Linked DNA regions of Mus musculus: regions 2, 3 and 4 are each reported to be linked to region 1. Evidence: microRNA targets listed by miRTarBase, many of them from high-throughput screens and not tested one by one. Region 1 holds a microRNA gene; each other region holds the end of a gene's coding sequence.
The links. The annotated mature microRNA mmu-miR-1199-5p reads UCUGAGUCCCGGUCGCGCGG and lies in region 1 at 1,609-1,628, opposite strand. An mRNA with a match to its seed (bases 2 to 7 or 8) in the 3' UTR can be bound and repressed. Matches are read on the target gene's strand: a 7mer-m8 pairs with bases 2 to 8, a 7mer-A1 pairs with bases 2 to 7 and ends in A, and an 8mer does both.

Region 1 (3,149 bases):
CAGAGTGGAGTCTGTGGGCCGGTGAGCAACATTTTGCGTTCTCACCACCAGGGGGCAGTAGGGCCCTGGCCTCCAAGCCCGGGTCCGCAGTCAGTCCAGAACAAGGAGACCAGAGCGCGTTTTGAATTCCAACATTCCGGCGGGATCCTTGGGTGGCTTTTCCAAACGTTCTTCACCTGCCAGCCTCCGCCCACCCAGACTAAGGAGGACCCAGTAGAAAATAGCTTGCACTGAAGCCCAGGTAAAGGGAGGAGGAGTTTATTTTATGTTTCACTCATAGGTTTTGCAGGGTTTCCAAGGAAGACTAGAGAATTTTATGGAGAAAGGTGGTTAATTCCATAGTCAGTATCAAAGATGGGCTGGATTTCAAGTTGCCATTAAAGAAAGCTAGCCCTTCCCTCTCTAGGCCTTCTGCTGATCTGGAGAGTAACCCTACCCTGGTTCTCCAAAGGGTATGTTACTTCTGTCCGCAGGTCCCAACCTTCATAGACCTCAGGGTCTGCGCTCCTAGAAGGAAAAGGGGAAGAGAAAGAACACCCTCAGGGAGAAGTTTGGCCTCTAGGCCTCCACCTCCTCTTCACTCTCTGGATCGCGTCTAGGACTTTTGAGTTTGGGTTAGAGTGGCGCTCCAGGGGACCAAGAGGCACCTTCTCCCTCCACCCCAGTGCCCAGGTGCTGCAGGGAGGGCTGGGAGACCGACAAGCATCGGAAAGGGAGTCTCCCACCTTCTCAGAGGCCCGTCTCCGCGGAGGCCAGATCACCGACAATTTTCCATCTCCCCTGCTCGCTGTGGGGGAAGGAACACTCAGCCGCGACTGCCCCTCCTCTTGCCAGCTGGAGGATGGCCGCACCCCTTATATACATACAGGTGTGCACCCCTCTTCCCCATGAAGGCCTCCACCCAGTTCTGAGGACCCAGGAACAGGAATGAGGCAAACTCAATGTAGAGAGGCACCCGAGTACTACAGAGGACCCGAGAACGCCAGAAGTCAAGGTTCCAAGGTCTGATGGATGTGGGGATCCTCACTCCAGGAGTGGGAGTGAAGAAAAGAAGGTGAACCCCCAGGAGAATAGTTAAGGGTCTGCAAGCCTACAGATGAATGATCACTGGAGGTGGAGACAGCTGGAGCTCTAGGGCCCAGGGGGACCGCTTACGGGTGAGGCTCGGCGCTGGCTCCTGGACCTCGGCGTCGCCGTAGATGCTGCGCCGCTGCAACTGCAGCTCCCGCTCGCGCTCGCGCACTCGTCGCACCTCCTGCTCCAGCAGTGACGGGGCAACGAGCGGTGGCAACTGCCCCAGTACCGGACAGCCGTCCTGAACGGCGGGGTGCAGCCGGCCTCCGGTCTCTGGCTGCCTCTGCAAGCCAGCGCCGTCCTCCGCCGCAGCCTCAAAGAAGCGCTTGAGTTCGTCCAGCGGCTGCGGCCGCCGCCGGGCGCTAGGCTCCGGAACCGCGGGGCTCGCCAGCGCCGCCTGCCTGTGAGCCTCGCGTTCGATGTCCCGTTGCATCTTCGCGCCCGCCCGAGCGCGCTCCAGGGCGCGCGGCAGCGGAGTACCGGAGCCGGGCCGACTGAGCACCGGCCGCACGCGCAACTCAATGAGTTCCTCGCCCGCGCGACCGGGACTCAGACCCCGGCTCCGGCGCAGGCTTTCCTCCCGCTCGCAGCTGCGGCGGATTTCGCGCTGGATGGGCGTCTCCATCTGCAATTCCGCCGGCGCCGGTTTGGATGCCGCGGGCTTCGGTAGAAAACACACCTGGAGGCCTCTGAGCCGAGACAGGGGCACAACTGCCCCAGTACCTCCGTTATACTAGTGCCAGGCGGCCCAGCTGTGGACCGCCCGGGCGCTCGGTCCGGTGCTCAACTGGCACCTGCGGGACCTGGCTCTCTGGCTCCAGAGTCTGCAAGTGCTCCTCTCCAGAGGTTTCCAGGACCTCACTGCCTCCCCCAGCAGCCCTCGGTGCCCTGGCTCTGCGGCTCCCGGAACACGTAGCCTTCAGGCGACCCCAGGACTCCACTCTCGGACACCCGAGGACATGGATGTTTGGAGTTAGGCGCCCTTTGAAAATTTTAGTTCTCAGAGCCGAATTGAGATGCCCAAATAGGTAGGACACGGTGCCCTGTGCAGTACCTGTAGTTACAGCCGCCGCCCGAGGTTCATAGGCGTCGCCAGCACTCTTCTTTGACCCGCCTCTGGCCTCCAGGAACATCCCCTGGGGGCAGGACTGGGCACCGCCCCCGTCACCTGCCAGCTGGATTCGAGTGGCCCTGGACCCGCCCTATGGGCCAGGGCGCCTCCACTGCTCTCCGGATTCCCGCCACCTGAACACACGGGTTGACTGAAGGGGTGGCTTCTTCGGAAAGGGCTTCCCTGAACTCACTACCCAGGGGGTATGTGTCGCCCTTTCCCTCTGGTACCACGCTGGCATTCTGGGGTCTTTTTTTTTTTTTTTTTTTTTTTTCATCACTTTCCGGAGACCTGACCTCTAGCGGAGCGCCGCGCTGATCGCTGAACCACGGCCTCCTTACAGAGTGTTTCCCCGGTCGTCTTTCGCTGACCTCACTAGTCTAGGTCAGCAAGTGCCAGCCTGCGGCCAGCGACACCACTCTCCTTCCCCCCGCCCCCTATCCCGTGATCTCCGGGCCTTCTCTGCACACTGATCGCTGAGGCAACACAGCTCGAGTCCAGCCCGAGGGTCGCCCGGGGCCGCCGCACTGGGTGCTGCTGCTACCCGGGGCTGCTCAGCTCTGTCTGGTTTGCAGCGGCGCTGCCGCCACTCAAAACCCTGGGGCAGATTCCCCACCCCCACCTTCCAGAAAAGCCCGCAAGGCATTGGCAGCCAAGTGTCCAGCTAGAATGAGCGGTGTTTGAGGGCACAGACATTACAGGACTTCCGGGCCTCAGCCGAGCAATTGTGGCTGGAAGGCGGTCAGCTTGGACCAGTTTGCCCAGGAGGCCCAAGATGGGGCAGAGGAGCCACCGGGTTAGCGGGAGGCAGTAGCGACCTTTGTCTGGTGCCCGATCTGTGTTTCGGGACAGGGTCGATGACCCAGAGTGAGGGCTAACCACTCGTAGAGACATTTCCACTCGCCCTTGTGGAACCCGGCTTTCACAAAAACCGGCCCACCCTGTGTTCTATAGTAACCTAGAA
Region 2 (3,149 bases), not on the chromosome of region 1:
AATGAGGATTGTATCTCACAAGGCCAACTTTTTAAGGGAATGCAGCTGTCAACTGAGCTGTGACAAAGATGACCACTGCCGCTTTCCAAGTCATACTAGAGACAGAAGTGGTAGGAATTACAAGTTAAATCGATTGCTGCAGCACACTAACACCACACATGCCTGTTATTGTCTTGTCTTAGCCAGCAATATCTCACTAAATGGCAGAAAACTAAAGACATTTAACAACTGTGTCAATAATTGTGGTTATCTAAATTTTTATGTGAGAAAATGAAGTTTTGGATAGATGAAAAACAAAACAAACAAAACTGGTCATAGTCAGAAACCCTAGAAATCACAATGAGTTTTCAGCAAGTTTGGAACAGTTTGTCACATATACATTATGAATCCATTTATGAAGAAAGTTAACCCTTAGATCAGATTGTTCGAGGTCTGTCACACACTGGCTAAACTCAAGTTCAATTATATGTTGTTTAAAGGACTTACATATGAATCCTCCAATTCCTGAGTTTTGTGTTCAGTTCACAGAAAGAAACTCATACAACGAAAAGCATCAGAAAAGCATTTGATTGAACATAAGCTTTTAGTGTATAAGAAACAGTCACCCTGTTCATTAGTTTCTGACTCCTTGGGTAAGGATCCATTAACATAAGCTCTAAAGTGAAATTAAAAAAAAAAACCCAACAATTACCTTTCCAGTCGTGGATATCAACACAAATAAAGCACTGTTCAGATCACAAACAACACAAAGGATTTAGAAAGAGCTCTAAGGCATGTCACCAACAATTTTACATTACAGGGTTTAACAATGAAAAGACTTTTCGTGATCAACCAATCAAGTTATATATAATATAAATTAATAGTAATTTAAAATCATATAAAGATCAAATTGTACAATATTTACAAAATATCACATCAATGAATAGGCAGTTGAGCATAATATTGGTAGTAGAATATGAATACAAACAATATATTGACAAATATGAAATATAACCCAAAACTCCATAATGAAATACTGGATACAGGTACATCTTGCTTATGCTGTTAAAAGTTTAAAATATTTTCATATGAAATACAGCATTGTTTTGCTAACACCACACTGTAAAAGGCTGTTCATAGGAACATAAGGACACCTGTATTCATCAGAAGAGGCTTTCAGTGTGAGCACTGCAGCTGTCCTCTCACAGCAGAGTTAGCTTTCCTTGTAGCTCAATCTCTTCTCAGCTGAAGGCCGATGCAGCCAACAGCAGCTCTTTCTTAGTTGTCACTCAACAAACCCTTCTAAAACCTGTAGTTTGAACAATCTACATTTTATGATGTTTCAAAACTTAACTACCTTTTAAAGAAGTGTTTTTGATAATAATAAATATTTATGTAAAAACACAATTATTAAACTGAATAAATAGGCAAAACCTCTTAGGAACAAATCTGCCTGAGCAGAGCAGAAAGACTTGTACAGAACTGGCTTGCCACAGGATGATGGGAGGAGATGACAAACTTCATAACTTGACATTCTCCAATGCTCAACTTATTGCACATTTAAGCAATTTTATTTTAATGTTTTAAAGGCCACTGCAATCTGTTCTTACCACCTTTTTTGACTTTTGAAGTAAGATATTACATTTTTCTCTTCTATTTACTCCTTGAGTACTCTTGTGTCTAAATGAAAGCTAAAAAGTTTTTCATAAAGAAAACACCGAATCATCAGGATTTCACATAACCTACTTAAACACCTCTGACCGTTCCTTTTCAGCAAGTGCTTAAGTTGGGATTGTAACATATAGATCCATGTAGCTGCTTACCAGTCTTTAATAGTGAGATATATATATATACACACACACATAACTATGTATTCACCTATATCTGTAACATTAAATGCTAGGGGTTAGAAAATCTTGTGTAAACTCTTAAAAATTTTCTACTTGTCCCTTACAATATATTAATTCTGATCACTCACGTATTTTTTCTTGGTGTATCTAAGAAGACTAACTGAACTAGGTAACTTGGAGATGGTTTTAACAGTATAATGTATTGACATTACTCATAATATGTCTATTATCTACCATTTTCCCACTGTAATTCCCTAATGAAAGTTATATGCCGGTCTTCTGAAGACAATAGTTGACCCTAGATGTATTTATAGGAGTGACGGCATCTTTGTTATGAACACTGGTATCAGAATACGTCACAGCACACTGTAGAACACAGGAACTGCTGTCAGGGAAGAGCTCTTTATACACACGTGGGTCTACGATACTCACGTGTAGGCACAGTCTCATACAAGTGTTCTGGCACTTAACACACAGCCCATTGTAGTAACCAAACACAGTAGCTCTTGTTTTGGGTTAAGGATAAAAGATGTGAAAAGTAGGTAGACATTTCTACATTTATCTCCTAGTTTTGTTTGTTGTGATGCTTTAATAAAGAGCAAGCCAATTTGAACAATGGTCCCAGATCACATCTAATCTTTCTTGTTCATGGATTCAATGTTGAGAACTTCTACTTAAATATAAAGTTTATTATGACTTGAAGCAAAATCAGAAGGAAAATGACGAAGTAGTCTTTCTGTTGCAGAAAATAATCTGTAGCAGGTGTACTTGAAAGTAAATGATTTCGAAGAGCCATAATATTTCTGCAAAATAAGCAACAATACATTTTATAATTATTTTTAGAAACATTACCATAAAACATCACGATTATAATGTTATCTGACTGTCACAAGGTATCTAGTTATATTACCTAAAGTAACCAGCTCAGTCAACTACAGCCCTGAGACTGAGAGTGCCAGGCTTCAGGCTAGGATGCTGCAAGTTCACTAAATCAAGCTTATTACTGTATGATTCCATGTCAAACATAGTCATCAGAGTTTAATGATCCAGAAATATTTCTTCTATTTTAATATAGTGTATAAATATAATTTTATATAACAGAAATTACATAAATATAAATAAAATATAATACACATTTATCTTTTCTATTACAAGAGTGGTTTTAAGAAGAACATTTGCTCTTTAGTTGGTTAAGTTTCTTTTATCTTTAATTGTGAGACAAGAGCGGAGTAAAAATTCCAAATTCTTTAAGAAAAAGTAATGGAACAAGTTTTTCTTAACACTGTCAAACTGAAGAATATTCAAGAGCCTTTTTTTATG
Region 3 (3,149 bases), not on the chromosome of region 1:
GACTGTCTTTGAATCAGCTGGGAAGAACGTCAATGACTGTATGCAAATGAATAAAATGTCCATATCAAAATACAAAAGCACTATCAACAATCACCTCTGACTTTCAGGTTCAGATTCAGTGCAATTGACAAATGCATCGCTGAAGGAAATGCAGCTTAGGCATACTCAAAAAGTTTGTGTCTATTCTTGGGAGCACGTTTAAAAATTATTGCACAGTTTTTTTATTTTTATTATTATTTTTTTAAACAACAACAGAGGCCAACAGATGTGACCCTCTTGCAGTAAAAGCAAAATCTCAAGTGGCAGACACTCAGCATTTTAGAATTCCTACAGAGCCACAGAGCAATGGGTTCTAAATGTCTCAATGTGATAGAACCCTGAAAACACCTGGCACAAACCATAGACGACTGCCTCTCTGGATGCAACTCTTAATATTACAGTATCATAGACCCCACTAACAAAATGGGGTAGATATAACGATGTATGGTAAAATGTAAGTGTATCCATCCTCTTTACCAAAAGCAAATGCCACCCTACCTTAATGAAGCCAAGACTGGCGTCAATCAACGCTGCTTTGTAAAGAACAAGGCAGCAAAAACAGAGCAGCAAAGCTGCGGGGCTGGGTTAGAGCAGTTTCGTAGAACACAGGGTGGGATTCAGGAGCCAAAGGCCTCAAAATAACTACTGACACACATAGTGTTATAAATTTGCTAAGCAATTTCTTAATTAAAAATTTAAAGATATAAATTTGACAACTGTTCTTTCTCTTCAGAACCTACACTCCTGGGTTCTTCCATTAATATCGACTATCCTGTCAACCACCTTCACAAACACAGCCTCTGGTGAACCTTTGTAGGTATATTTTACTTTTAGCTGAACATAAAGAGTCTGATTGAAGCCGGCCGTGGTGGCGCACACCTTTAATCCCAGCCCTCGGGAGGCAGAGGCAGGCGGATTTCTGAGTTCGAGGACAGCCTGGTCTACAAAGTGAGTTCCAGGATAGCCAGAACTATACAGAGAAACCCTGTCTCAAAAAAAAACCAAAAAAAAAGAATCTGATTGGATACCTATATCTTTAAAAAAAAAATACTTGATATAAACAAGAGTAAAAAACATGATATAGTAGTGATTATAGTGGAAACAAAACAGCAGCTTAGATCTACAATGCTTAAGTGCAGCTTTGGCGCCGTATATGCAGGCAGAGGGATAGCTCCAGCCACACCTCTCCTAATTTCCCCATCACTGCTACCCAAACATAGCTCAAAGCAAGCCTTTAAAAACTGTTTTCAAAACTAAGGTAGCAAACATTTAGCCATGTAATGGCAGTGTTATATGCTGCTGTAACCTTGCTTTGTAAAAAGAAAACTAACATGAGAGATTTTTTAATACTGGAATCTGGTTACATTACATATTTAAGCTTCTATACAGAATGATGGACACTTTGAGAAGCTAATCCTTATCCAGAAATATTTTAATCTCTTAAGAAACAAAGTAAAACAGACAAATGGTAAAATAAAAAATAAAAATAATAAAATAAAAGCCCCAAACTATGTTGCTCCTTCTCACAATAGTGCACATTTTTAACCATAATTTAGTTATGGCTACAAAACATCAGAAGATTATTATTTAGAAAAAAAAAAACCAAACTCTTCTTTATGGTATTAAAAAAAAAAAAAAGTTGTGCCCTTCTAGTCTTTAATTGGCAGAAATATGTCCCCAAAAAGAAACTATTTTAAGCGCTCTCTCTCCTCCCCACCCCTCTCTCTCTCTCTCACACACACACACACACACACAAAGAACTAAAACAAAAAACCCAGAAACCCAAAACAAAGATAACATAACACCCTTTGCTGATGTGTCTTAGAGAGTGACATGACGGAAGTCATGTAGTTTCCTATTATTCCAATTCCCTCCATAATATGCACCTATTGAGTTATATGCTCTGGGAGCCATCAGATGTACCAAACATCTACCTCTTCCAAAGAATGCAGTAAAATATTTTTAAGAATTTTTTTGTTGTTTAAAAGGTGAGAAAAAAAAGCAAGATAATGATTCACTCCCTTACTTCATGCATCCATAATCTAAACCAAAACAAACTTGGAAGCAAGAACCAACTACTGCCGCAAGCTTTTGTTAAGTCCATGTTCTCTGTACATACAAACTGCGCACTACTGAGGGGAAAAAGAATATAATCCATGTGTCTGCTGATTCAAAGGGGGAAACAAGGCTGTCATTAATATTCAAAACTGGGACATGTGTGGTTTGCTCTTATAACGCATATTCCTTCTCTTCTGGTTTTCATATCCAAACTTCTAAACGCTACTTAGGGGCACAGCAGGTTAGATCCCAGCACTTGGTGAGCAGAATTCACAAGCTGGGATGAGACTGTCATCTTCAGGGTACAGCTGTGTTCATATATACTGCATGTATATATTTCTCTTAGATTTGGCTGTAGTGGACTGGCCATGGTTCAAGTGGGACTATAGCAGTATATGGGTCAGGGATAGTCTTGTGGCTATGTACACATTCATAGTCGGTCCATGGCTTCCAACTAGTAACGCTATTTCCGAAGGTCTAAGACACAAACCTGTAAGAGATGACAACAGTCAGCCAGTATCAAGAAATCTACCTTACATTGCAAGCTTAACTTCTATAAAGAATACAATGTAATTTACAATCTAAGATGCAAATTCATAAAATCAAAGTAACAAATTATGGAAAGAAACCTTAACTGATGAAGGACATCGGGCCAATATGCTGTGATGTGATCACTACCAAGCTACAGTAACTGAGGAAATGCTGCTCAAAGTTTTAGGTTTAGGTCTTTAAAGTCAGTAAAAGGGGGATGGGGAACATACAGAGCAGACTCAGGTCTGAACACAACACAGGTGTTACGGGGTCATCTCAACAAACAGCTCTGCTTTCCTCTCTCCTGCTTTCCCTGATTTACAACGGGAGAGGCTATACTACCTCCCCCGGCCCCCCAAGTATCTACTAACAACATCCTGAAGGTCAGTATTAAATATCTCCCCACAGAAATCAGCCTCCATTCTTCATCCTCCAACACTCCACTTCAGAGGGGAGAGTTGGGGAAAGGGCTTTAAAAATACCATTTAGCAAGAGATACTTCATTACATTTAATTCCACAA
Region 4 (3,149 bases), not on the chromosome of region 1:
AATTGTGTCTGCCTTTGAACATAATCTTTCTACCCAGTTTTCTTTTTTTTTTTTTTTTTTGGTATAGGAGAAGTAGGGGTGAATAAGGGGAAGGGAAAAACCATGAAAGTGGAAAGGAAGTGGTAATTTGGGGGTAACATTTGAACCCCAGACTAACAGTGACACCCTCATCCCATGTGGGGTGCTGTAATGAAAGCAGCTCGGAGGTCGCTAGTTGTGTGAGGGCGAGATGTGCAGGTTCTGTGTCTGCCTCCCCGTGGGCTCATAATCTCTCCTTCCCTTCATTTCTAGGTGCAGAGGTCAATGCTTCTCCTCTCTGGAACCTGGCTCACGTGAAAATGGAACCTCAAGAAAGTGAAGAAGGCAATGTGTCTGCGCATGGGGTGCTGGGCAGTGATGTCTTTGAGGAGCCAATGTCAGGCATGAGTGAGGCTGGACTCCCTCAGAGCCCTGACGACTCAGACAGCAGCTATGGTTCCCACTCCACTGACAGCCTCATGGGGTCCTCCCCTGTGTTCAATCAGCGCTGCAGGAAGAGGATGAGGAAGATTTAACTGCAGAGCGCCAGCAGGAAGCCCATGAGTAGTAATTAGACTGTATTCTTAAGTGTAGACCTTTGCTAATGTCAGAGACAGTTCCTAACCTAGTAACAGTTCACTTTGCGTCGTTTCTGTACTTCTTTAAAACAACTAAGCCACCGTTCGCAGCTGAGTTGTGATACTGACCTGGTAATCAGACCAAAGTACTGTCCCGGCTGGTTTTATCTCAGCTCCTCTCAGCCGTGTCTCTGGCACGCTTGAGAGGAGTCATGCCACTTTGATGCTCCTTGCAGAGGTGGGACACTGAGGTGCTTTGCTTAAATTTCAAAGCTTGCATATATTCATGTAAATATATGCAATATATGACGTCTATAATAGACGTCAGCAATTCATTCGTCTATTTTGTGTCGTCATTGGGAACCCAGTAGCAAGACAGACAGTAACAGCTAAACTTAAGTCCATCAGTCAGAGTTCAAACTATTCATGCTACTCAGGCCTCTTACAAAGTGAGAGCCGTGGGGACAGCTGTTACCCTTATGCAGCTGTCCCCAGAGTTCTTTCTTTTCTAGATTATTCCAGCCAGCCTCGTCATTTTTACTTTCCATATGCTCTTGTGCTGACCCAGACTTTTTTTTTTTTCGAGGCAGGGTTTCTCTGTGTAGCCCTGGCTGTCCTGGAACTCACTTTGTAGACCAGGCTGGCCTTGAACTCAGAAATCTGCCTGCCTCTGCCTCCCGAGTGCTGGGATTAAAGGCATGTGCCACCCACGCCTGACTTTTGACCCAGACTTTTAAGTATCTTTCACCATGCACACGCTTTCACCTTTTCTCCTTGTGAAGGTGGCAAACAGGGCCCACCACAGCTGCCGGGTACGCAGCATCTGGCTTTGCTTCAGAACAGCTGTTGGTTTGTTTCAGGTGTTTGTTTTGGTTGTTTTGTTTAAAAAGACATTTGAGGATCCAGAGAGATGGGTCAGTGGGTAAAGTCACTTGCAATTTAAGTTTGATACCGGGGACACACATGGTGTAAGGAGAGAACCAACTCCTCCATCATGACACACACACACACACACACACACACATAAAAATAAATTATTTTTGGAAAAAGTCATCTGAGTTATTCCAATTCTTTTTTAAAGATTCTTTGACCATTCCATATGCATGCATAGTTTTTCCCTTCCCCCAAGCACAGCTTCCTCCTTTCATGTCTTGTGTGTGTGATCCAAGGTTCATCAGAGTTGCCTCAAGCTGAGAGGGAACTCACTTCCTGAGCAAGGACAACCTAGCAGCAGCACTCACACTCTCCTTCACAACCACTGCTTACCACCCCTTCAGAGGGGCGCCGCCTCAAAGGTACCCTCCTCACAATGACACCTTGACAGGTCTTATACAGATGCATACAGATAAGCACAGCTGCAGTTAATGAGTGCTGCATCAGATCCGGAGGACATCTTTCTGCTTTCTATCTCCCTTCCAGCTCCCTATCCTCGTGTTCTTACTTTCCACCCCTCTCACTTGACATTCTCTGGTTGTAGGAGGGGTGGAAAGTAAGGGCCATACAGATCTGTCAGCCCTTCACCATCACGTCCTCTGCTCTCTGGCCAGTTACTGGTTAACTGATGCCCACTGCAATCAGCTGCCAAGGCTAAGCACAGCACCTATCTCAGCACAGGCTGAGCACAGCAACTATCTCAGATGGCACACGAGATGACAAAGGATGGCCATGCTCCCTTCCTCCATGACAAACCAAGGTTTGTGGTGAGCTCTCCTCAGAGTGTTTGAGGTTTGTTATATGTGTGTGTGCTCGTGCATGGTGTGTGTGGCCTGTATAGCGAGGCCAGAGACAACTGCTGTGTGCAGTCAGTTCTCTCGTTCAACCTTTACATGGGCGCCAGGGGTGGAAGGCATGACGTCAGGTTTTCATAGCAAGAGCCTTTAACCCACCAAACCATCTTGCCATCACAACTTAACAGTTTTCAAAGACAGTCACATCATGTACTCTAGACTAACCTATAGTCCTACCTCCTAAAGAAGTTACAGCTTAATTTTAAAATAGGATTTTTGATATTAATCTTTTTTAAGGCCTATTTATTTTATATATATGAGTACACTGTAGCTGTCTTCAGACACAGCAGATCCATTACAGATGGTTGTGAGCCACCATGTGGTTGCTGGGAATTGGAACTCAGGACCTCTGGAAGAGCAGTCTGTGCTCTTAACCACTAAGCCATCTCTCCAGCCCCTCAAATTAATCTTTAACACTCTTAAATCTATCCTGTTTTAATCTTGTGGTAGTTTGAAACTGGACCAAGGCTCATCTGGAATGGAGGTGTGGCCTTGCTAGAGTAGTCATGGTTTTGTTGGAGAAGGCCAGGCTTTGAGGTCTCATATGCTCAAGCCAGGTCTAGTGTCTCAGTTCTTTCCCTGCTACAAAGATGTAGAATTCTCAGCTACTCCAGCACCATGTCTGTTTTAAGAGTTGCTGAGGTGGTCATGGTTTCTCTCGACACGGAAATAGAAACCCAATAAGGCAGATCACATCTTCATTTTCATAAAGTGGCCAAGATGCAGTTAGTACACTGAATTCACTTAGGAAACAATCATTAAGCAC

Region 2: miRTarBase lists Osbpl8 as a target of mmu-miR-1199-5p. The part of its 3' UTR that is shown has no 7-base or 8-base seed match.
Region 3: the mRNA of Tbl1xr1 is a reported target of mmu-miR-1199-5p. Seed matches in the 3' UTR shown: 7mer-A1 at 958-964.
Region 4: the mRNA of Supt7l is a reported target of mmu-miR-1199-5p. Seed matches in the 3' UTR shown: 7mer-A1 at 1,247-1,253.

The regions. Positions count from the first base shown.
Region 1 is chr8:84,009,986-84,013,134 of GRCm38, forward strand. It overlaps Mir1199 (microRNA 1199), which reads right to left and starts at 1,648; the gene lies at 1,530-1,648. It overlaps Misp3 (MISP family member 3), which reads right to left and starts at 1,735. Exons shown (of 3, transcript NM_001291292.1): 1 at 1,156-1,735; 2 at 726-787; 3 at 243-507. The coding sequence starts at 1,699. The coding sequence ends at 493.
Region 2 is chr10:111,292,575-111,295,723 of GRCm38, reverse strand. It overlaps Osbpl8 (oxysterol binding protein-like 8), which reads right to left. Exons shown (of 24, transcript NM_175489.3): 24 at 1-2,632. The coding sequence ends at 2,500. Among named protein-coding and RNA genes, the nearest start is that of Bbs10, 4.5 kb to the left of the region's middle.
Region 3 is chr3:22,209,839-22,212,987 of GRCm38, reverse strand. It overlaps Tbl1xr1 (transducin (beta)-like 1X-linked receptor 1), which reads right to left. Exons shown (of 16, transcript NM_030732.3): 16 at 1-2,587. The coding sequence ends at 2,561. Among named protein-coding and RNA genes, the nearest start is that of Tbl1xr1, 130 kb to the right of the region's middle.
Region 4 is chr5:31,513,069-31,516,217 of GRCm38, reverse strand. It overlaps Supt7l (SPT7-like, STAGA complex gamma subunit), which reads left to right. Exons shown (of 5, transcript NM_028150.2): 5 at 292-1,649. The coding sequence ends at 554. Among named protein-coding and RNA genes, the nearest start is that of Supt7l, 12 kb to the left of the region's middle.